Linked DNA regions of Macaca mulatta. The protein of the gene in region 3 purifies or fractionates together with the protein of the main gene of each other region. This does not show direct contact. Links are inferred from orthologs where the notes say so. Each region holds a gene or a part of one and is shown on either strand. Other genes may lie near its edges.

What was found.
Region 1: the proteins of MAPK9 (region 3) and DUSP16 purify together in Homo sapiens (affinity purification with mass spectrometry; 6 studies listed by BioGRID and IntAct, with this or other methods). This does not show direct contact. The link is inferred for Macaca mulatta from reciprocal best matches to the Homo sapiens genes MAPK9 and DUSP16.
Region 2: the proteins of MAPK9 (region 3) and MAPK8IP1 purify together in Homo sapiens (affinity purification with western blotting; 4 studies listed by BioGRID and IntAct, counting the BioPlex papers as one, with this or other methods). This does not show direct contact. The link is inferred for Macaca mulatta from reciprocal best matches to the Homo sapiens genes MAPK9 and MAPK8IP1.
Region 4: the proteins of MAPK9 (region 3) and DUSP8 purify together in Homo sapiens (affinity purification with mass spectrometry; 4 studies listed by BioGRID and IntAct, with this or other methods). This does not show direct contact. The link is inferred for Macaca mulatta from reciprocal best matches to the Homo sapiens genes MAPK9 and DUSP8.

Annotation. Positions count from the first base shown.
Region 1 is NC_133416.1:14,927,121-14,932,464, reverse strand, and holds part of DUSP16 (dual specificity protein phosphatase 16), read left to right. Parts: intron 1-3,505; coding exon 3,506-3,676; intron 3,677-5,344. UniProt on the Homo sapiens protein: Dual specificity protein phosphatase involved in the inactivation of MAP kinases. Dephosphorylates MAPK10 bound to ARRB2.
Region 2 is NC_133419.1:19,710,116-19,716,249, reverse strand, and holds the end of MAPK8IP1 (C-Jun-amino-terminal kinase-interacting protein 1), read left to right. Parts: intron 1-181; coding exon 182-263; intron 264-548; coding exon 549-1,361; intron 1,362-1,542; coding exon 1,543-1,618; intron 1,619-2,165; coding exon 2,166-2,380; exon of another isoform or gene 2,381-2,402; intron 2,403-2,524; exon of another isoform or gene 2,525-2,583; coding exon 2,584-2,741; intron 2,742-2,900; coding exon 2,901-3,017; intron 3,018-3,153; coding exon 3,154-3,224; exon of another isoform or gene 3,225-3,333; coding exon 3,334-3,432; exon of another isoform or gene 3,433-3,830; coding exon 3,831-3,903; 3' UTR 3,904-4,639; downstream 4,640-6,134. Other genes in the region: FREY1 (protein Frey 1), read right to left, coding at 4,747-4,868, 5,040-5,280. UniProt on the Homo sapiens protein: The JNK-interacting protein (JIP) group of scaffold proteins selectively mediates JNK signaling by aggregating specific components of the MAPK cascade to form a functional JNK signaling module. Required for JNK activation in response to excitotoxic stress.
Region 3 is NC_133411.1:189,252,065-189,257,408, reverse strand, and holds part of MAPK9 (mitogen-activated protein kinase 9), read left to right. Parts: intron 1-92; coding exon 93-275; intron 276-2,039; coding exon 2,040-2,164; intron 2,165-3,161; coding exon 3,162-3,225; intron 3,226-4,814; coding exon 4,815-4,886; coding exon of another isoform or gene 4,887-4,891; intron 4,892-5,344. UniProt on the Homo sapiens protein: Serine/threonine-protein kinase involved in various processes such as cell proliferation, differentiation, migration, transformation and programmed cell death.
Region 4 is NC_133419.1:1,475,418-1,481,264, reverse strand, and holds the start of DUSP8 (dual specificity protein phosphatase 8), read left to right. Parts: upstream 1-2,261; 5' UTR 2,262-2,402; intron 2,403-2,872; exon of another isoform or gene 2,873-3,243; intron 3,244-3,405; exon of another isoform or gene 3,406-3,537; intron 3,538-3,560; exon of another isoform or gene 3,561-3,686; intron 3,687-5,847. UniProt on the Homo sapiens protein: Has phosphatase activity with synthetic phosphatase substrates and negatively regulates mitogen-activated protein kinase activity, presumably by catalysing their dephosphorylation.

The DNA.
Region 1 (5,344 bases), on a different chromosome or scaffold from region 3:
GTTGCATAATTTTAGTGTTCAGTGATTTGTCTGCTGGTGCTTTGAAAATTTTTCATTCATTTGTTGTATATGTGGTAACTGTTGTATATGTTTTAACTACCAAAATTAGATAGAATTTCCCATTTCCCAAGTGTGTCAGGTGATAGAGTTGTTTAATACAGGGTGAGCTTTTTTGGAGATGTCATTTATAGGATAAGTTTTGTGAGATGCAGGCTACTTGTCAGCCTTCCTGAAAGAGAAATGCGTATCTCTCCACTCTTCTCTTGGTCTGTGCTCCAGTAGATGGTGGGATAGGGGTGGATGGAATGAAAGCTTTAAATTAATGCTTTAGATCATTTGGGAATTTTCTTTTTAGTACGGCTAGTTGGAGAGTTGGCTATATGGGAAATAGATGAAATGCTGCTAATGTTGTGGAAAACACGTCACCGCTGTCTACCTTCCTAGGAGTAATTTACCAAACCTGTGTGGCTTGGCTTAGCCAGACCAAAGTGTCTACATTGAAACATTAGTTACACATTTTGTTTGCTTTTTTTAGGGGTATGAAATTATGTTGCTTTTTTTTTTTTTCTTTTCTTCAACTAGTTTCAACTCTCCATGTTTACTGTCTGCTGATCCTGAAAGAATTGTGACCATACTTTAGTCTGTGAGTGTCTAGAGAACGAAGTTGCCTAAATCAGACATGTCAGACTGAGGCATAACAGAATTACTCTTAAGAGCAATTAAAGTACTTTACTGCAAAATAAACATTTTCATTATTTTCCATTTTTAATGTTAGAGTTGTCTCCTTTGTGTGATCATAAAGCAACAGATTTTCTTTCCAGTATGGAGAGAAGAGAGAACTGTCCTCTACAGGTGAAGGTGTACTCTAGTTTTTCACATATATTCTAAAATAAGCAACTGAAAGGATTGTGTTTATGTTACAAAAAGGGAGTTTTGTTTTACAAAATAATTAAACTATGTGAGAACTACAAAAGAATGTAATGGCCAGGCATGGTGGCTCATGCTTGTAATCCGAGCACTTTGGGAGGCCAAGGCGGGCAGATCACCTCAGGTTGAGAGTTGGAGACCAGCCTGACCAACATGGAGAAACCCTGTGTCTACTAAAAATACAAAATTAGCCGGACAAATTAGCTGGGCGTGATGGCGCATGCCTGTGATCCCAGCTATTTGGGAGGCTGAGGCAGGAGAATTGCTTGAACCCAGGAGTTGGAGGTTGTGGGTGAGCGGAGATTGTGCCATTGCACTCCAGCCTGTGCAACAAGAGCAAAACTCCGTCTCCAAAAACAAACAAAAAACAAGAATTTAACTGCATAGTTCAAAACTGTGCAACCATATGAACTATATGCAGATTATTTAAAATATAAAAGTTAAATTTGCATATGACTTTTTAGAAAAATGTCTTCCATAAAGTAGAGCTTTGTATCAATATTATTTCTTTGTATAACCATGGAATCCATTCACAATATAGGGTGGGAGGGCAGTTCTCTTTGATTCTGCCTTCCTTGAAGGCGGCTCTGTCAATTGATAAATCTCTAGTGACTTGCTCCCTATTTAAATGAAGGCATGAGTGGAAAGGTCCTGTCTCTCACTGCAGGAAACCATCTTTAAAGTCATGGAATTGCTAAAAGGATAGGGATCTATTTTTAGAACTTTGGCCTTAAAAACATTTTAAGAATATCACTAAGCCACAGTAGAGTACTACTTTTATTATGTAAATATACTTCCATTTTAAGAAAATACTGTGATTTATAACTGATTGCATGGGTGAGAGGGAAGAAAAAAGAGTGACTAATTAGAATTGTTTAGTAGAGTTGTTATATGTATTTTATTTTGCTTAGCAGATTTTTCCCTCCCAAAATGGAATGGTGGTTCACGTTTGCTTTTACAGAAAATCGTATTTATGATTGGAATTGTGAAGGAGGTGCTCCTAAGGGAAAATGTTTTCATGGCTGAATTAGGATAAGGTGTTATCTAAATCAGGAATGCCTTAGAAGCTGTATGTACCACATGTTTTCTGTGTCGGAAGTAGTATCTATGTTTTTATTTGTAAACATGCATTCTTTTGGTTGGATTTATGGAAGACTAACAAACAGAAACATGGGTTTTTAGCATTGCGGTCTGGCTGCCTGTGCACCCACAGCTGTGGAGGCCAAGACGCTTCTCTGCCTGCAGAGACTGCCCATCCCTGTTTCTCAGCAGGCTGGAAGTGTCTGCGTATTTGTCTTCCTTCCTCTTAGCACAGATACTTCCAGAATAGGGGGCACAGTCATTCTTAGGTTCAGGTCCATGTTAGGGAAACACATATAGGTTACTATGACTCCGTTTTCTGCATTCCCAGATGATAAACAGCATAAAATTAGGAACAGGAGAAACTTGGCAAGATTGGACAGTGAGTCAAGTCTTCAGACAACTTTAAAAAATATGCGCAAATTTTTTCAAGAAGCTTATCAGTTTTTCGGTACTGCTTTTCACAGTAAATAGCGGATAATGGTCGATGTTATGTCTTGTAATGGAATCTAGCTTGGAGTCCCTGGGACAACAAAGTTATGACGAGGGCAGATAAGAGGACACTTCATTCTCTGTCTCCGTCAGCCATTTGGAGCAGAAAGTTTGCATGATTGAACTTTCCTTCTGAAGTAGATCTTATTTGTAAGAGAACTTATGAAAGGAAGAGGGACATTTTAAACACGTTTCAAAACTGAGTTGCTGGTGAGGCCACAGATAGTTTTCAGAGGTTCAAGGGAATCAGGCAGTGTCTCATCTGTTGTTAATTAATGAAACGAAACTGGAGTCACTAGAGTGCAGCAGTGAATGAAAGGTCAGTGAATGGAAAAAACTGTCAATGAAGGAGGATGTCAGCAGAGTGGAACATTGTCATAGATAAAGATCAGTGAAAATGTACTCTGGCCGAGGTGGTGTTTTCTGGAAGTGACTAGGAGCCAGTTTGGGACATTTCAAGCCAAACTGAGCACTAAATGAATGTTCTGATTGCAGCTAAATCTGTTAGATATTTTAAAATATTTGTTTGTTTGAATTTGTTCTAGATATCAGTTGAAAAAGCTTCTTTTGTTTTATAATATGTTTTACAGTGTAGTGTTGTTGTTATGTTTGGCTCTTTTGTTTTGAGGCTGAACGATGGTTTCTTTCTCTCCTTTGTTTCTGTTCTCTGTCTCAGAACTTTCTAGAGCCACATTTACTTTTGAGGTCCACTGAAGTCAAAGTGACATAGGATTACTGTACTAATTAACGCTAGAGCTGGACCTCAGACAGCCTGGCTGATGGCTCAGTTTATGATTATTGCAGAATTGCGTCTCCTCTGAAAGTTGTTCTGTAGGGGGTGACCTGAAAGCCAAGACATGGCCTCAACTTTACTACCAACTTGTGTAAATGGTCATGAACAAACCAGTGACCATATTTACATTTCAACTAGTTCATCTGTAAACTTTGTTATTGGTGTCGTGTGAAATTGCCTTTAAAGAGATTCTCCTTTCTCTGGTCTTGTCAGATCTTCTTTCTTCTCCCTCATTGAAGCCTTTGAGCAATATGGCTTTGGGGAAACAAGGCTCTTCCATCAGTTTGGGAAAGGACCATGGCCGTTTTAGCCTGGTCACAGCTGGGAGGCCAGGACCCCGTGAATATCATCAGCAATGTCCCTGCATCCAAGGGAGAGTTGAAGGTAATTCCACAGGATTTAGAAAAGTAGACTTATAACCTGGCTCTTCCAGTTATTATATTACGTGATTCTGAGCCTATATTATGTGATTCTGAGCCTTATCTATGAATGGGATTAGTAGTAATACCTACCTCATAGGGCAGTTATAAGAGTGTGTAAAATACCTATAGAGTGCTTAGAGCAGCGTTTGTCACACAGTAAGCGTTCAGTACGTTCTAGGATTACATACATTATAAAAATAATCATTTATAAGGTTAAAATGAAATTCAAGTGGCATTTCCTTGGATTCTGTGGTTTCTCTTTGAGAACATTTACTGGAATATTGTTTTGTTGGAAGTATGTATGTATTTTTTTGAGACAGAGTCTCACTTTGTCACCCAGGCTGGAGTGCAGTGGTGCGATCACAGCTCACTGCATCATCAACCTCCTGGGCTCAAACAATCCTCCCACCTCAGCCTCCCAAGTAGCTGGAACTACAGGAACACACCAGCATGCCTGGCTAATTTTTGCATTTTTTTTTTTTTTTTTTAATAGAGATGGAGTTTCTCCATGTTGCCCAAGCCGTTTTGTTGGATTTAAATGACAACCATTCCATGAACTATTTTAGAGCCAGAATAGAAAAATATATGAAGGCAGTTCTTTAGAGAAACACCAGAACTGGCAGGGTGCAGTGGCTCATGCCTGTAAACCCAGCACTGTGGGAGGCTGAGGTGGGGGGATCACCTGAGCCTACGAGTTTGAGACCAGCCTGGGCAACATAGGAAGGACCCTGTCTCTACAAAAAATACAAATATTAGCTGAGCGTGGTGGCGCCCGCCTGTATCCCTGGCTACTCAGGAGGCTGAGGTGGGAGGATCACTCACTATGGACTGGACAGTGTTAAGTTCTTTATATGTACTTAGCTTGGGAGGCAGAGGTTGCAGTGAGCCGAGATCATGCCATGCCACTCCAGCCTAGGCCATAGAGTGAGACCCTGTCTCAAAAAAAAAAAAAAAAAAAAAAAGAAACACCAGAACTGCATGTTAATAGACATGACATTAAAATTTAATATCATACAATTAAATTAAAATAGTGCCTGTCAGTTGTTAGGTTGGGTAGGTGTAAGAAAAGCAAAGAATGATGAGAATCTTTAACATTTATTGTTACAAGAACTACCTTGGGGAAAAAACTCACTGTAAATAATGACTGTATTATTCAATTACAGAGACTGAAAAGGAACAAAACACGAATAGAAACAAAAGCATAAATTCTAAACGGTGGGCACTCATATACCAATATTGGCTGACCCCCTTTTTTTGAGATTGTCTGTGGGTTATACTTGTAGGTATAGGAGTTCTGATTGACTCCATTTCAGTAGTCGCTTTGACCTTAGCATAGCATTTCGTAAGTGTGAATTCCACTAGCTCTTAATATATTTTAGGGGGAATTCCATGGTCAGATAAGTTTGGGGAAACTTACTAGACTTCAATAAATGAAACCAGTTTCTTTGAAGATACTTCTTAGAACCTTTAATAAGTTAATATGTGCTGTGACTCTCCCAGGGCGCTAGGATATACAATATTTTTCTCATGTTTTGGACCGCTATCCTATCTGTCAGCTTCTTTCAGGACGTTATTGCTCTGGGGCACACTATGAGAAGTTAACCTTACAGGCATTCTTTTTTCCACTTTG
Region 2 (6,134 bases), on a different chromosome or scaffold from region 3:
TGTGACTTGCCACCCTTCCTGCCTGCTCCAGAGGAGAGTTGGGAGTGAGGCCTTTGACAGTGGAGGCGGGGTGAACACAGCAAACGGCCCTAGGGATGGCCTGAGGGGGCAGGGCCGGGGCCTCCCTGTGCCGGGCACTGTTGACCACTTCCATCACAAGAGCCTTTTGTTCCCCGCACAGGACACACTGAATAATAATTCTCTGGGCAAAAAGCACAGTTGGCAGGATCGGGTGTCTCGATCATCCTCACCCCTGAAGACAGGTAAGTCAGGGCCCTTTTCCTTACCTGGACCTCCGCCTGCCCTGACTCAGTCCCCACTGCAGAGAGCAAACCCTGCAGTCTCCAAAGGGCTGAGTAGAGGTAAACTGTCCACCCACATCCCTGCACAAGCCCATCCAGGGGGTGAGATCAGTGGTAGCGTGAGGGAGTTGACTGGCCCCAGAGAGGCTTTGTCTTGGTTTCTGTGTCACCAAGCTGAGAGTGGCGGGTGCAGGCAGCTGGGAGTTGGGAGAGAGCCCCTGCCTTCATGACCTGCCTGCTCTCCAGGGGAGCAGACGCCGCCACATGAACACATCTGCCTGAGCGATGAGCTGCCCCCCCAGAGCAGCCCCGCCCCCACCACAGACCGGGGCACCTCCACCGACAGCCCTTGCCGCCGCAGCACAGCCACCCAGATGGCACCTCCGGGGGGTCCCCCTGCTGCCCCGCCTGGGGGTCGGGGCCACTCGCATCGAGACCGAATCCACTACCAGGCCGATGTGCGACTAGAGGCCACTGAGGAGATCTACCTGACCCCAGTGCAGAGGCCCCCAGACCCTGCAGAGCCCACCTCCGCCTTCCTGCCTCCCACTGAGAGCCGGATGTCGGTCAGCTCCGATCCAGACCCTGCTGCCTACCCCTCCACGGCAGGGCGGCCACACCCCTCCATCAGTGAAGAGGAGGAGGGCTTCGACTGCCTGTCGTCCCCAGAGCGGGCTGAGCCCCCAGGCGGAGGGTGGCGGGGGAGCCTGGGGGAGCCGCCGCCACCTCCACGGGCGTCTCTGAGCTCGGACACCAGCGCCCTGTCCTACGACTCGGTCAAGTACACGCTGGTGGTGGATGAGCACGCACAGCTGGAGCTGGTGAGCCTGCGGCCGTGCTTCGGAGACTACAGTGACGAGAGTGACTCGGCCACCGTCTATGACAACTGTGCCTCTGTCTCCTCGCCCTATGAGTCGGCCATCGGAGAGGAATATGAGGAGGCCCCCCGGCCCCAGCCCCCTGCCTGCCTCTCCGAGGATTCCACGCCTGACGAACCCGACGTCCATTTCTCCAAGAAGTTCCTGAACGTCTTCATGAGTGGCCGCTCCCGCTCCTCCAGTGAGTCAGCAAGGGGAAGCAGTTGGGGGGTGGGGGTTCCCTAGCGGGACAGAGCCAAAATGCGAAGTGTTCTGGGAGGCGACCCCAGGCCCCATCTGGTTAGGACTGAGGCTTCTACCTGCCCCGCTAAACCTGGATCAGAGCTGCGACCTCCCATCCAGCCATACCCCCTCACCTGCAGGTGCCGAGTCCTTCGGGCTGTTCTCCTGCATCATCAATGGGGAGGAGCAGGAGCAGACCCACCGGGCCATATTCAGGTGAGAGCCATGGGCTGGCTGGGCCTGGCCACGCAGCAGTTTGGGCCACACACCACCCTCCATTTGTCACCCCTACATGGCCTCAGCCTAACCCCTGCCATCAGCATTCGTTGATCCACTCAGCCCTGGGAGGACAGTGTCCACTCTCTAGGGACTCAGAGTATGGTGACAAAGAGGATGGCTACGGTGAGGGATCCCAGGACTGCGCACCTAGTCTGGTCGGGGGCAGGGCACCCAGGAGGGTGACCAAGAGGATGCCTGCCCACACCCCACCTGACCCTTCTCTAGACAAAAGCCTGCGCTTCCCACAGCCTCTCCATTTTAGAGGGTCCCTGCCCGCACCCTCCCTTGGCCTGTGTTTCCTCAACGGCAGACGCATGTTTGCTTGACCTTGCTCTCCCCTGGGGTTAGCACTGCCACAGGCACACAGGATGCTTTTGCAAATGTTTACTGAAATGACGATGCTGCTGTGGCTCCCAGACTGCAGAGTAGGCCTGGCCGGACAGGCCCTGGTGCCGAATTTCTCACCTGTCCTTGCTGGGGACAGGTTTGTGCCTCGACACGAAGACGAACTTGAGCTGGAAGTGGATGACCCTCTGCTAGTGGAGCTCCAGGCTGAAGACTACTGGTACGAGGCCTACAACATGCGCACCGGTGCCCGGGGCGTCTTTCCTGCCTATTACGCCATCGAGGTCACCAAGGAGCCCGAGCACATGGCAGGTAGCGTTCCCTGCCTGGCCTGTGCCCCCAGCCACCACATCTGTCTGCCCTGACTTGCTGCTGGGTGAACGTGTACTCCAGATCTTAGCCAGACAGGTGGGGGGCTGAGTGGAGGTGATTTTAGGTCCTTTTCACGATCGAGCAAAGTGAGGCCCGGCCAAGTTGGGCAGCCAGGGATTGTGGCAGCCTGTGTGGGCTCTGCCATTCCCTGTGCCTTACCCGCCCTCCTTCGCTTGGCTGCTCAGCTCCCTCCTGCTGTTTCTGCCCCTCCTCAATTCACACTTGCTTTCCAGCCCTGGCCAAAAACAGTGACTGGGTGGACCAGTTCCGGGTGAAGTTCCTGGGCTCAGTCCAGGTTCCCTATCACAAGGGCAATGACGTCCTCTGTGCCGCTATGCAAAAGGTACCTGAGCCCTCTCCCTTCTCCTCCCTTGGATGCTCCCTGGGGCAGAGGAATACAGGTGTCTAGAGGCAGTAAAGGCCTCAGGGCTCAGGCCCTGGGACAGGAGGGATCAGCAGAGGAACAGACAGCAGCTGACGTGGCTCCGTGTGTCACCTATAGATTGCCACCACCCGCCGGCTCACCGTGCACTTTAACCCACCCTCCAGCTGCGTCCTGGAGATCAGCGTGCGGGGCGTGAAGATAGGCGTCAAGGCCGATGACTCCCAGGAGGCCAAGGTGACTCCTCCCAACCCAGCCCCTTCCTTCCATGGCCCCCAGCTTTCCCCCAAGACTTGGAGTGAAGAGGCCGTCTCCTCTCACCCTCATTGCAGGCCAGGTGACCGCCCTCTTGCTTCTTTTCTCCCTCCTGTAGGGGAATAAATGTAGCCACTTTTTCCAGTTAAAAAACATCTCTTTCTGTGGATATCATCCAAAGAACAACAAGTAAGTGGGGGTGGGATGGCAGTGGAGGAGGCACGGCTGGTCTGCAGCCTTCAGGTGGTTGGGTGTGGGCCGAGCCCCTGTCCCAGCACAGACAGACCTGTCCCTGCAGGTACTTTGGGTTCATCACCAAGCACCCCGCCGACCACCGGTTTGCCTGCCATGTCTTTGTGTCTGAAGACTCCACCAAAGCCCTGGCAGAGTCCGTGGGGTACGTGTGCATCCTGCTGAGCACCCAGCCCGAGGGAGCACACCTCATCCCAGGCCCTAGGGCTGCTTCCTGGTGCTCAGCTTTGCCCCTTGGTTTCCCCCGCAGCTCTGGAGAACCATCTCCAGACCCCAGTGCAGTGGCCTGGAGGGAGGGTGGCAGGGCAGGGCGAGCCTGAGGAGTGGCTTCCAGGCTTGGTAGCTGCTGAGCCACGTCTTCAGCTGACATCTTACTGGGAAATGCAATGGCAATTCTGTAGAGAACAGAGCCAAGTGGCCCCGGCCAGAGGAACCAGAGCTGCATTCAGGCCCCAAGGCTCCGGTGGGAAAACCCTGGGTCGTGATCCCATTCCTCCCTTGCCAGTGGCGGTCTGAGCCATCTGTGTGTCCCCTGGCTTCTAGGAGAGCATTCCAGCAGTTCTACAAGCAGTTTGTGGAGTACACCTGCCCCACAGAAGATATCTACCTGGAGTAGCCGTGCAGCCCCGCCCTCTGCATCCCCCGGCCCTCAGGCCAGTGCCAGGACAGCTGGCTGCTGACAGGATGTGGCACTGCTTGAGGAGGGGCACCTGCTACCACCAGGGGATGAGGAAGTGGGGGCTGCTGGCCCAGGGTAGGGGAGGGTGGGGCAATGGGGAGAAGCAAATGCGGTTTATTGTAATATATGGGATTAGATTCATCTATGGAGGGCAGAGTGGGCTGCCTGGGGATTGGGAGGGGCAGGGCTTGGGGGGCAGGCCTCTGGCAGAGAAGGATGTCCATTCCAGGAGCACATGGCCCTGCCCCATCCTGGGCCTTACCTCCCCTGCCAGGGCTCGGGCGCTCTGGCTCCTGCCTTGATGAAGCCCGTGTCCTGCCTTGATGAAGCCTGTGCCACCTGCAAGTGCCCACCCTGCCCCTGCCCCAACCCCCACCGAAAAGCCGTGAGCTCAGGCTGAGCCCAGCCACCTCCCAAGGACTTTCCAGTGAGGAAATGGCAACACGTGGAGGTGAAGACCCCGTTCTCAGCTCCGTCATTTGCGGGACTTTGGGTGGCTCCTGCCACTGACCTCACCGGCATGCTGGCCTGTGGCAGGCCTAGGACCTCAGTGGGGAGGAGGAGCTGCCGCAAGGCCCTGTCCCAGCAGGAGGGAGGCTTCCTGACTGACACAGGCCAGCCCCATCTTGGTCCTGTCACCCTGGCCCCAACTATTAAAGTGCCATTTCCTGTCTGGACTGCAGTGGATGTATCTGTATGGACTCCTCCTGTCCCCATCTCACTCCCAGCCCAGGAAAGCCAAGCCTTTGTCATGTGTAGTATCTTTATGGGGGCCTTGGGTCATAGGTGTGCGTCGTAGTAATACTCAGCAAGGTCGGGCCCATCCCGCTTGCGCTGCTGGGCCCGGGACAGGCGGGGTCGAGGCCCTCGCGGCCACGGGTGCTTGGGGAGGATGCCATAGTCTAGAGAGAGAAAGGAGGGCATGGGTGGGAGGGGCAGCTGGCACCCTTGAACATATGTGGTTTGGGATGACAAGCCCCTGAAGGCTGGACTTGGGGCACCCCTTAGGGGAGTCTCCACTGTCAGGGAGGGGCAGGGGAAGGGGAAGGGGAAGGGGACGAGAGAGATACTACCATCCACCAGGCCGGAGAGTGGCTGTGAGAGTTCCAGGGGTGCGGAAAATGCCTCAGGAACAGACTGCTGAGACCTGTGGGAGAGGTTGGGGTGCTCGGCCCTGGCCCAGAAAGCCACCGCCACCTCCTTGTGAATGGGGGGATGGCCCAGTGTGGGGGCACTTGGCAAGCCCTCCAACACCCAGGGTACCAGGGCCAGCCAGCCCCACTCCAGAGAGGGGAGGGGCAGCACCTCTGCCATCCAGCCCGAGTGCCCTGCCCCTCCGTGCCCCAGGAGTCACCTCAGAGGCTGGGAGTGAAGCAGTGCCACTGCCAGGATAAGGTGGAGGAAGAGGCTGAGCCCAGCCCGGGGGTGCAGAGCCCCCAGCATGGCGAGAACCATCTCCTACACAGGTCCCAGCTCCTGTCGTCCCTCTCCTGGCAGGACGGAACCTGTTGCCAGTTCCCAGGGCCACCTCACAAAGGGCCTTCATTCCAGGCTTGCGTCAGCACCTGCAGGGCCAGCAACCTCCACCCTGAGGCTTTTGTTCTTATTGATGCTGTTGGCTAATAGGTGCCAAACCTGATCTTGTTCTAGTGTCGCTGCCCAGGGAATCAGGGCACACACTGTACAGTCAGATCTCAGCTGAGGTCCTGACCTTGCCTCTTGGTAGCCAGACAAGTCACTTCATCTCTGTGTGCCGGAGTTTCGTCATCTGTGATGTAGTCCATAACACACCCTACAGACACAGGCCCTCCGAAGAGGGCAGGGGCTCCTCACCACCCAGAGCCCCAGCCATTCAAACAGCCTCCCCAACTCCCGCTAGCATAGCAGGAGGTACGGGCAGGTCCTGCCAGCTGAGGAGCCCAGAGTGGGTCTTTCAGCTCTGCCCATCTCAGGGTCTACGTGACAGGGAGTGTCCAGGCTCCCCATGTCCCCGGCTCAGGACCTCTCTCTCTCTCGGCTGCCTGCAGCTTAGAGCGGCCTGAGGCTAGATGGATGGCTTCCAGACGTGGTGGCAGAGCTCTGGACCTGCCCCTCAAATGCAGGCTTCAGGAGGGCAGGGACAGCTTTGTTCACTGGAATCTGCAGCCCTGGACCCCTGGTAGGCGCCC
Region 3 (5,344 bases):
CTAGCCGATAGGTGTAAAGATGAGTCAAACGCTGCTGCATGTGCTGTGAATACGAGGCACTCCAGTTGTATTTTCCTCAAGAGACTCCTTAGATATTGATCAGTGGAATAAAGTTATTGAGCAGCTTGGAACACCATCAGCAGAGTTCATGAAGAAACTGCAGCCGACTGTGAGGAATTATGTAGAAAACAGACCAAAGTATCCTGGAATCAAATTCGAAGAACTCTTTCCAGACTGGATATTCCCATCAGAGTCTGAGCGAGACAAAATAAAAAGTAAGATACCCTTTTTTTCTTAGACTTGTGTTTTGTAATTCAGGTGGCGCTTTCAGTCTTTCATGTTTGTATTCTAAAAACCTGTGAGTTTTGGGAGAGAAAGTCATTTTAGGCCAGAAGTCTGAGGTATGAAGGCACTGAGGAGAGAAAGCTTAAAGGTCTGGAAGCTTTATCCTCCATAACATGGCTTAATTGAAGCCTTTGGCCAAAATAAAAATCATCAAATCAGTCTGAAAGAATCTTGTTACAGTTACAGCAACTGGAATTCACAAAGTTTTCAGGTGAAAAGAACCCTTGAATGCAGATTCTAGAGTCGGAGCCATGTGACAGTCACTCGGTAGAAAAGGTCCTCCCCACCTCCTCCTGCAGCCTTTACTACGGTGTGATTGCTTAAGGAGAAAGAAGAGATTTTCTTCTGTCCACATTAAGATTAAGGTAAACTGGGCCGGGCGCGGTGGCTCACGCCTGTAATCCCAGCACTTTGGGAGGCCGAGGCGGGCGGATCACGAGGTCAGGAGATCGAGACCATCCTGGCGAACCCGGTGAAACCCCGTCTCTACTAAAAAGACAAAAAATTAGCCGGGCGTGGTGGCGGCGCCTGTAGTCCCAGCTACTCGGGAGGCTGAGGCAGGAGAATGGCCTGAACCCGGGAGGCGGAGCTTGCAGTGAGTCGAGATTACGCCACTGCACTCCAGCCTGGGCAACAGAGCGAGACTCCGTCTCAATAAAAAAAAAAAAAAATTAAGGTAAACTGTGCCTTAATCAGAAAACCCTCAGTCATTCCTGTGCTTACTCAGGTTGTGAACTTCAATTGCCAAAACCTAGGTGATCCTTATATTTAACTAAGTTATTGAACTTGTTTTTGTTTTTTTTTTTTCTAAATACCAATCTGTAGATTAAAAAAAAAAAAAAAAAACTGTAAGTTGCCAGCACTGTATACAGCTAGGCCAGCCAGAAGCATCTGTGAGTGTTTCATCCTGTGGGAATGTGAGATTGTTGCACGGTTTAAAAAGTCTGTTCTAATTTCATTTTGATGTGACTTAGAGAAAAATACTCCCCCGTGCCTCATGCCCACACCCTGGGCAGTGCCACCCGCAGCTCGGCAATTGCCACCTTCCTTGCTGTGGTTTCCCAGCCTTGGGCCCTGCCCAGACATTGGTCTGAGGCTGCCTGGTGCTCTTCCCCACCACCCTGGGGGCCCAGGTTTCTCTTCCCCTCGCAGATCCAGAGGCGTAAAACCACATTTGGAAACCTGGTTTGTCATGAAAGTGGCCATCTGACTTTTTCTTAAAAATGTTTGGGTTATGGCCAGGCGCGGTGGCTCATGCCTGTAATCCCAGCACTTTGGGAGGCCGAGGCAGGCAGATCATGAGGTCAAGAGATCGAGACCATCCTGGCTAACATAGTGAAACCCCATCTCTACTAAAAAAATACAAAAAATTAGCCGGGCGGGGTGGCGGGCGCCTGTAGTCCCAGCTACTCGGGAGGCTGAGGCAGGAGAATGGTGTGAACCCGGGAGGCGGAGCTTGCAGTGAGCCGAGATTGCGCCACTGCACTCCAGCCTGGGCGACAGAGCGAGACTCTGTCTCAAAAAAAAAAAAAAAAAAATTTGTGTTATATTCATCTTGAACCTATCAAACGTTTCTCAAAATTAATACATCTTTGTTCTGTCTGTGCTGTCGTATTTAGTTCTTTATTGTATGATTCTCTTTGTTTCATATTAAAAGCATTAGTGTATTAATCTAATCTTTGTTGTCACCCTAGCCAGTCAAGCCAGAGATCTGTTATCGAAAATGCTAGTGATTGATCCTGACAAGCGGATCTCTGTAGACGAAGCTCTGCGTCACCCGTACATCACTGTCTGGTATGACCCGGCCGAAGCAGAGGCAGTGAGTATCTGTTTTGAAAAGACTTGTATGTGGAGGCCGGGCTTGTATTTCCTTGGATCTTGTCTGCTCGTCCAGAGCGGCTACATATGGGTAGCAAGTTCTCCATCTGGGGCTCCCAGTTACAAAAAGGCCAAGTGCTGTCTGAGGCCTGGGCCGCTTTGCTCGGAGGACCTCAGGAATGAACTTACGCTTTGGTGATACCAGTCTCCATTTTGCAAAGGCTGCTGTGAGCTCATAGTTTATTAAGCATCTGTTCTGTGCCATTGGCTTTGGTTACATCCTCTTGTTTAGGCCACTCAACCAGAGAGGCTGAGCAGCTTGCTGAAAAATCACACGTCTGTGTATCCTTCCCTAAAGGCCTTGTGCCTCCTGGCTCTCCCGCTGGAGGAGCTCCACTCTGAGTTCGGTGCTCACGTGCGTGTTTCTGTGTCAGCGCTGGTGTGAGTGAGCTTTAGCTGTGAGGGAGATCACTGCGTAGTGGCGGGCTTCCTTCGTGCCATGAGTGACACACATGTTTATGGCATGGCCTGTGGTTTTGCCATCAGTTTAAACGTTGTTTTATATAAAAAGAATCCAATTTATAAGCAGACTTTTGTAACAGTCCATTTATGAGTTGGACTTTGGGTTTGGGAGTTCTCACATGAAGAACATGTAAAATTTGTTCTAAGAAACAGCAGTACCTTCCATAGCTGCCTGCACAATGCCTTGTCCATGATGGGTCTCGGGAAACAGCCTGTGATGGGCAGATGTCTGTGTTTTGAGGTCAGGTGATTATTAAGAGGAACATAGTAACTCTTTTTTGGTTAACTTTTTCATAATTATTTTGATCCCAAAGCTGATCCAATATTGCATGACAAATCTTTATTAAACCATGTGTTGAATTAAACTAAATCCATATCATAAATAGACTAGAAGTCTTCCAAGCGATTTTACCTTTTTTAGTGCCTCATTTTTTTTGAGGCATTACTATTGACTTTACATATGATTTAATTTTTAGCCACCACCTCAGATTTATGATGCCCAGTTGGAAGAAAGAGAACATGCAATTGAAGAATGGAAAGGTAAAGATGGAGCTTATTTTGATCCTTCCTTAGGACATTTCTTCCAGTCCTGTAAAGCAGAGGCTTTTCATTTTGTGACATTTCCCTTCAGGAAGGGGCAAGAAATGCTGCGACCCACTTAGCCTCTTTCTCCCCAGTTTCCAGTAGAAAAAGGACTTGAAGAGAACAGAGTTAGAGAGGAACATGTATCAATTTCTTATCATTTGCTTCAAGAGGGAAAAATAGCATTTTTTTCATGGCTTTTCACATATCGGTTTGTAAACTGAGCTTAGTAATTGCATCACACTTACATTGATAACATGTTGCAAATTTCAGGTGACACCAGTTCACAGGCTGCATGTTACCTATAGAATTCCCAGTGTGTGCAGATATGGGGAGCCAGGGCTGGGGGTCATGTGAACTTCTGCCTGCTTTTTTTAAGCCGTGTAGTTGTACATACGTTTTAAAATCTAGTTTGGGGGAAACTGCAGATTGAAAATATGCAAATAGGTATTATTACCACTGTAAGATTAACCAGACCACCCACAACAAACTGCACCTATAATGAAGAGGTCGGCCTGACAGTTCTTCATTAAGAAGCGGCATCAGTAGTAACTGAGAACCACAGTCAGAGTGAGTCAGCACTGAGGGTGGGTCCTGCCCCGGGGCCCTCCTGGAGTGCCGGTTGCCTGTGTGAGCTCAGCAGTGCATGCTCACAGCACACTCACTGGCCTCCGGAAATGGTTGCAACGCGCTAGTGCTGGTTTATGAATACTGACATTTTAGGAATCCCTAATCACTTACTTAGTAGGTAATTAGTTTTTCTTACAAATGAAAGTTGAAGTTGAAACAAGGAAAAGACTTAGGCGTGTGGATTCATTTCTGGCCAGTGTCGGGGGTTCCTAGCCCACATGTGGATGCCGGCTACCTTTGGAAAACCCCAAGTAACTACGTAGAGAAGCATATTGAAATGGATGTGAGAGTATCCAGTCCCTTACAGTGTTCTGTGGGAGCCAGTCCACTTCATACAGCCCCTTGTGGGTCCAGAACCACCCCACGTTTTGCTCCCTTACTGCTGCATGGAAAAGATGGGATGTAGTCCAGGCGCAGTGGCTCACACCCGTGATCCCAGCACTGTGGGAGGCCCAGGCGGGCAGACGGCTTGAGGCCAGGAATTCAAGACAAGCCTAGCCAACGTAGCGAAACCCCATCTCTACAAAAACTATAAAAATTAGCCAGGCATGGTGGTGAACACCTGTAATCCCAGCCACTTGGATGGCTGAGGCATCCAGGAGGTAGCGGTTGCAGTGAGCCAAGACTGTGCCACTGCACTCCAGCCTGGATGACAGCATGAAACTGTCTCAGAAAAAAAAAAAAAAAAAAAAAAAAAAAACCCAAAGAAAGAAAGAAAAGAAAAGATATAATGTATCAAAACATGAATATTTTGGTCCACTTAGACTATATTACTGAATTGACTCTTATCTTACAATTAAAAATAACACATCGGAGTGCCTTTGGAGTGGTTCCAGTTGATTTGGAAGCAGAGTTTAGAGATACAATGAAACTGTTTAGAAACTGATTAAGCATTTTAACTTGTATTTTTATTAAAGAGCTAATTTACAAAGAAGTCATGGATTGGGAAGAAAGAAGCAAGAATGGTGTTGTAAAAGATCAGCCTTCAGGTTAGTGATTGTTTTAATTGATTGTATGATATTTTTCTTACCTTATTCAGCTTTTCTTTTTTGAGACAGTCTCACTCTGTCACCCAGGCTGGAGTACAGTGGAATGATCTCTGCTCACTGCAACCTCCACCTCCTGGGTTCAAGTGATTCTCCTGCCTCAGCCTCCCAAGTAGCTGGGATTACAGGCACGTGCCACCACGCCCGGCTAATTTTTGTATTTTTAGTAGAAACGGGGTTTCACTGTATTGACCAAGCTGGTCTTGATCTCCTGACCTCGTGATCCGCCCGCTTCAGCCTCCCAAAGTGGTGGGATTACAGGCGTGAGCCACTGCACCTGGCCTCTTTCCCTATTCATCTTTTATAAATGGCAGCAGCATGTTTGAAACGCCAGCCTGGCTAGCATCAGATTTAAAAACCACTGTATGAATAGCCACCCTTTTTGGCTTGTCATAGTGAAG
Region 4 (5,847 bases), on a different chromosome or scaffold from region 3:
ATAATAAGGTTTTTAAAGAAATAACTGGAGAGAAAGCCTACTTGAACAGCTGGAATAGGCATTTTATTGAGTTAGCTATGCCTTGACTTAAAAAAGGTTGGGAAAATAGTGGCATGGAGGTTTGCCACACATAATTAGTTGCAACAATTATATGCACATTAGCGAGAAAAGTGAACCCCACTGTTTCTTCTGCACAACAAGGATGCTTTAAGAAACGACCTTGGACATCCTCCCTGAGGCAAAACGAGCTTCAGGCGGCAGAGCCTGAGCCGCGGTCCGCGGACGGCAGAGGGCGCGCGCGAACCGCCAGGCCGGCCCCTCTCGGCCTCCACCTGCCCTGCCCGGAGCGCAGGTCCCGCCCCAGGCTGCTGGACGCCGCCAGACCCTTGCCGCTGCCTTGGAGCCTCCCTGGCCCCTCGCAGGATCCTCCCCAGCCCCAGAGACCCCCGAGGCGGCGTCTACAGGCCCGGGCCGGGACTGACACCGCAGCCCCCTCCCTGGGTAGCGCCTCCCACCCGAGTCCACACCTGTGCCAGGAGGCGGTGCGGCCGCCGAGCTGAGCTGAGCTGAGCTGAGCTGAGCTGAGCTGAGCTGAGCTGACCTGGTCGGACACCCAGGCCCCTGCGCCCACCGCCCGGGCCGGCACCTGCTGGGTGTAAAGGCAACGTGGAACCAAGCAGCGGGGCTGCAGAAAAGCCACCGTCCTCTCCGGGGTGCCACCTCCCTAGCCCTCCACCCTGGTTGGGGGCAGAACCTAACGCTCTCAGTGCTTATTTGCATGAAAATGACCACGAGGATTATAACAATCGCCACCCAGGGCACTCCGCTCCCCAGGGACAGCCCAGGCCCTGCCAGGGAAGCTGTATTCCCCTCCAAACCATCCCCTGACAGCCTCCAGGAAGGGCTCAAGGTCGCTGCCTGCCACCTGCTCCAGCCTGGCCAGTAGCTGCCCAGGGTATAACCAGAGCTCTTAGGGGACAATGGGCACTCCCAGGCCACAGGCAGATGCTGGCCACATCCCACCTGGGCAGAAGACACGCCCGTCCTTTTCCCATCCGGCTCACCTGTGCCTGGCAGGGGAACAAGCCAGGTGAGGCTTCTCCCCAGGCGACAGCCCCTCTATCTAATGGCCAACAGCTGCCACGCCTTCGCGTCCCAGGCCCTTCCAGGCCTGTGTGCCTCCTCAAGGACCTGCTTTGCCCCCTCTGGGTCTCAGCCTGAATCCTCCTGCCCCTCCCAGGGCCAAGCCTCCGCCACTTTTCAAACCCAGCAAGGCTGCATCCTGCAGCCCTACTCACCTGGCCCCGCATCCGGGTCTGGCACCTCCGGCCTCAGGATCCCCCTTCAGCCAGGGCCTCCCTTCTCGCAGGGCCCTCCCGCTTCGGGGCGCAGTCCCAACCCCAACAACCCCTAGGCTCCCAGGGCTTCCTTCCGGGACGGCCCCACTCTCGCCAAGGGATTCGTTTGTGCTGTGTGCCAGCTCTGTGCCAGGAACGCACTCCACCGCCACCCCTATCCCATAAGGGCCACTGCCGCTCCCCTCAGGCTGGCCAGGGAGGGGAGCTGCAAGCGCTTATTAATCGCCAACTGTGTACTCAGTTCTGAGGCTGGCAGGAAGACTGAGTATGGAAAGGGGGAGCCCCGAACCCCGCTCAGGACCCCCTGTTGCCCACAGTCCTCCCCACCCCCAGCCATCACCTTTCGCACCCTGAGCTCCAGGGTCCTGGTGCCGACTGAGGGTTCTGCGGTCGTTGCGCCGGCTTCATTTTCTGTGGCCCTTCATTCAACCAGCGACCGAAGCCCCCTTCAGAGCCCCAGGGTGACCCTGGGGGGTCCAGGCTGGTTGGGGGATTGGGGGCAGAAGGTGGATCCCCCCACGCTCCCTCTCCACCAGGCAGCGGCGAGGAGGCCTTTTAGAAATGTCTGGGGTGTCTGGAGACACCCCTACCAAAAAAAATCATTACCTTCAAAGACTCCCAGGCTCCTAGGCAGGGGTCTTTGTCCCCTTCCTCCGGAACAGCGAGGCCTCCCCGCCCTCCCCCTGCAGCGCGAGTCTGACCCCCTTGCTCCCGCCCAACACCTGCCCAAGGTGCAATTACCCGTGCGTTCTTCCTGCCCCTGACTCGCCGCGTCCCGCCGCACGCGCGGAGGTGTTCCCACAGCGGTCGGCGGAGGACGGCCCCTCAACAACCCGCACGGGGGTCGTCGCGGCGGCTTTCCACGGAAGCGGGAGGGCGGGGGTCGTGGGGGGCGGCGGCGTCCTGGGGAGCCCGCCCCCGGAGTTCGCGGATGTGTGACCCGAGGCAGCCGGCTCGCCTCTGAGGGTCCCCGGTCCGCCCGGGTGCAGGGGGCTCCGGCTCCGTCCTGCGGGGGTCGCGGCGGGGCGAGCGCAGCCGCTGCAGGTAAAACGCCGCGCCCGGGTCTGGGGAGGGCTCCCCCGCGGCGGCCCCGCGCCAACAAAGGCCGGGCGAAGTGGGGAGCGGCGCCGGCGCCTGCCCGGGCCGGGGGAGGACGTCGCGCCCGGGGCCGCTCGGCTGGACCGTCCGGGGTCTGTGCGACGCGGCTGGGGGCCCGGGTGACGCGGAGCGCGGGGCCGGGAGGGCTTCCTGGAGGCGGGGGCCCGGACGCCGCGTGGTCCCTTTAAGAGCCGGTCCCGGGGTGAGGACAGAAGGCGGCGGCAGCGCGACCCACCCGCACCCTGCACCCCGCCCCCCGCGGCCACCGCCTCGGCTTCACCCCGAGCCCGGGCTCCGCTGACGTCACCTGCCCCCGAGCCGCGCGAGCTGATTGGCTGCAGGTGACGTCAGGGGCTTTTTTCGCTCGGCATGACCTCATCCCCGCCGGCGGCCCCGCCCTCCGCCCCGGGCCTGTCACTCGCGGCCGAGCGCGGCGGCCGAGCCAGCTCCCCCCACACCGCCCCGCCGGACGCCGGACGCCCGAGCCCGAGCCCGAGCCCGAGCCCGAGCCGCGCCGGAACCGCCCGGCCGCGCCCGCCGAGCCGCGGGGCTGGGATGCGCGCCGCGAGCGCGCGTGCCCGCCCGCAGTGCGCGCGCCCCGGCCCGAGCGAGCGCTCCCCGCGGCGTTGGCGGCGGCGACGGCGGCGACGGCGACGCGGCCCGCGCGCTCCCCCGGCCCCTGCCCCGGCTGCGCGGGCCCCCGCCGGGCCCATGGACGGCGCAGCCGAGCGGGCGCCCTGAGCGCGGCGCGGGTCCCCGGAGCGCCCCCGAGGCGAGCGCGAGCGAGGTGAGCGGAGGCGCCGGCAGGGCGGGGCGGGGGCGGGGACGGGGGCAGGCGCCGGGGACTGGGTTCACCGGCCCGGGCCGGGGGGCGGAAGGCGCAGCGTCGGGGGCGCTGGGGCAGCGGCACCCGGCGGGCGCCCGGGAGGAGGAGGCGGCCCCGGAGTGAGCGGCCCCGGCCGGCCAGGACGCCCGGGACAGGGAGGCCCCTTCCGCGCCTTCCGCAGCGCCCGGCGGACCCGGGCCCAGCCCACGCCCGCCCGCCGCGTTGCCGTCCTTCTCCACGCAGCTCCTTCTTTGGGTGCGCAACGGGGGGGACAAAAATCCGGGACCCACCAGGGCCACCTGAGATCCAGCGCGGATCTGCGCGACCCCCCAACGTCCCGAACGGCACCCCCGCGGGGGCCAGAGCCGGAGCAGGCGGACCCTGGCCCGGAGCCGGTCCGGGAGGTGTGGAGCCTCGGCCGTGGGAGGGACGCGACGGCCTGTGGCGTGGGACACCCGAGAAGGGGCCGTCCCCTGTCGCAGGGGAGGGCTGCAGATCCATCCCCCCAAATGTCCAGGCCGCCCCGCACCCCCACCCCGGGGTGCCCAGCCGGCCCCTGAGGGATAAAGCCCCTGCGCCCTTCCGCCTGCTGCAGAGGCAGCCGCGGCGCTGGGGGAGGGGCTGGCACAGCCAGGCTGCTGCAGCCACCTCGCTAGGCCTAGCTGCCCAGCCTGGGTTGCGGAGCAGACCAGGTGGGGGTACCTAACAGTCTGGCTTGGAGGGGAGGGGGCAACAATAGGCCCAGCCCCCACAGGGTCACCCCTTCTGGGAGAATCTGCCTCCGTCTCCCTGCTCCGGGGTGTGTGTACGGGCCTCTGCTGAGGGGAATAGGGGCTCTGTGCTGCAGTGATGGGGGGCGGGGACGCTGTGGGATGGAGGAGGGGGTGGCAGGATGTAGTGTGGCTCCGCAGTGCTCTTGCTATGCAGCTTGGGGTGGGGGTGGGGTGCTGCGAGCCAGGGAAGCTCCTTTTGTGCCCCTGCGGGGGTTCCGAGGGGAGGTCCAAGCCCGGGCACTCTCCCTTGCCTCCCTTCTGGCACAGCCCACCCAGAGACACTGTTGCACCTAGGCGGTGCAGGGGTGAATGTAGCACCCCAGGCCCCCAGCCCTCCACCAGGAGGACGGTCCCATGCATTCACTGATAATAAGCACTGGATGCGCATGGCAGATCATGTGACCCCAGCTGGAAGTTCATCCTGAAGTCTCCCTGAAATACCTCCTGCTTCAGGCAGCCTGGGGCTGCAGGAGTGTGGCTGGGCAGGTTCTATTCCCCTGGTGCCCTCTGTCCTCGGGGAGGTTTCTGGGAATAAAGTCCCATGAACAGAGGTGCAGAAAGAAGCTTAGAGTCAGTCTCTGCTCCAGAACCCTTCTCTTCTCAGGCTGGGGCTGAAGTCAGGGCCTAGAGGCTGCCACTGGGCAGGTGTCTCGAAGGGCCTTCGGCTGGGGCCTGGTGAGACCTAGGTGTCACTTCTTGCAGAAGGCAAGGAAAGGGGCAGGCCCACAGCGAGAGAGAGGTGGTTCTGGACATGAGAACTGCACCGGCTGAGGCTCCCTCTGCTGGAGTTGCTCAGGGCAGTGAACCTTGGAAGCCCCAGGCTGGTCCTGGTGTTTAGCGTGTGGCACAGTGACCAGGAGGAGGGACACAGGCCCGGTGGGAAGGGAGGGAACCTGGATATGTCCTCACGGCCCCCTGTGCCAAGCCCTCCCATCCCCTGCCCTACCCGGACCCTGTTCTGGGATCGGAGGGAGCCCCCAGCCCTACCCCACTTTCTCCCAGGTCCACAGCTTCCCCAGGCCAGCGGAACAGAGTGTAGGCCAGCTTGGGTCCTGCACCACTAGCCCAGGGAGCTGAGGGGATGCAGGGATGAGGGCATTTGGGGGAGCCCAGTGAGGGAAGAGAGCTGACCTGCATGAGTGCAGGGTCGCTGCCTCCCAGAGTCGCCACCCACCAGTCTCTCCCCAGCCTCCTTATTGTGACGATTTCTGCCTCCAGAGGCATCCGTGGGTGACAGTGAGCCAGACAGCTCGAAGAGCCTGCCTAGGTGTAAGGGGGAGACACAGTCCCATCCCCCCATGCTTGACAGTCCTGGCAGCTATCTCTGAAGGTCATGAGTCCCCATTTCTAGGTGCTGAGCAGAAGGTAATGTGGCGAGGATGCTGTCAGTTGAGAGTTGGGGGTGGCCTGGGACTCCCTGGTCCCATCTGTGCTCAGGGACAGGAATGTGCTGTGTAGAGGCGCTGGGTGTGGGAGTTTGTGTGTGTAAGGAGTCTGGAGCTGGCCCCCGGGGTACTGGAGTCCTGGGGTTCTCAGGGGATTCTGCATACAGAGGGCAAGGACGTGCGTGTACTCTAGTGTACGTCCAGCACCACATGTGTGCACACATTCACGCGTGGGTACTTGCACACAGGGCAGGTGGATTGTGGGTAAGGGACACCAGTGTGTGTGGAGTGGGTGTGCAAAGGGGTGTGTTCTGGCACACCTAGAGGGCAGTGTGCATGCAGCACCGGAGCCAGGCGTGCTGTGTCCCAGGGGAGGGTGGCTACCTGGTGCCTCCTGGAAGGTGTGG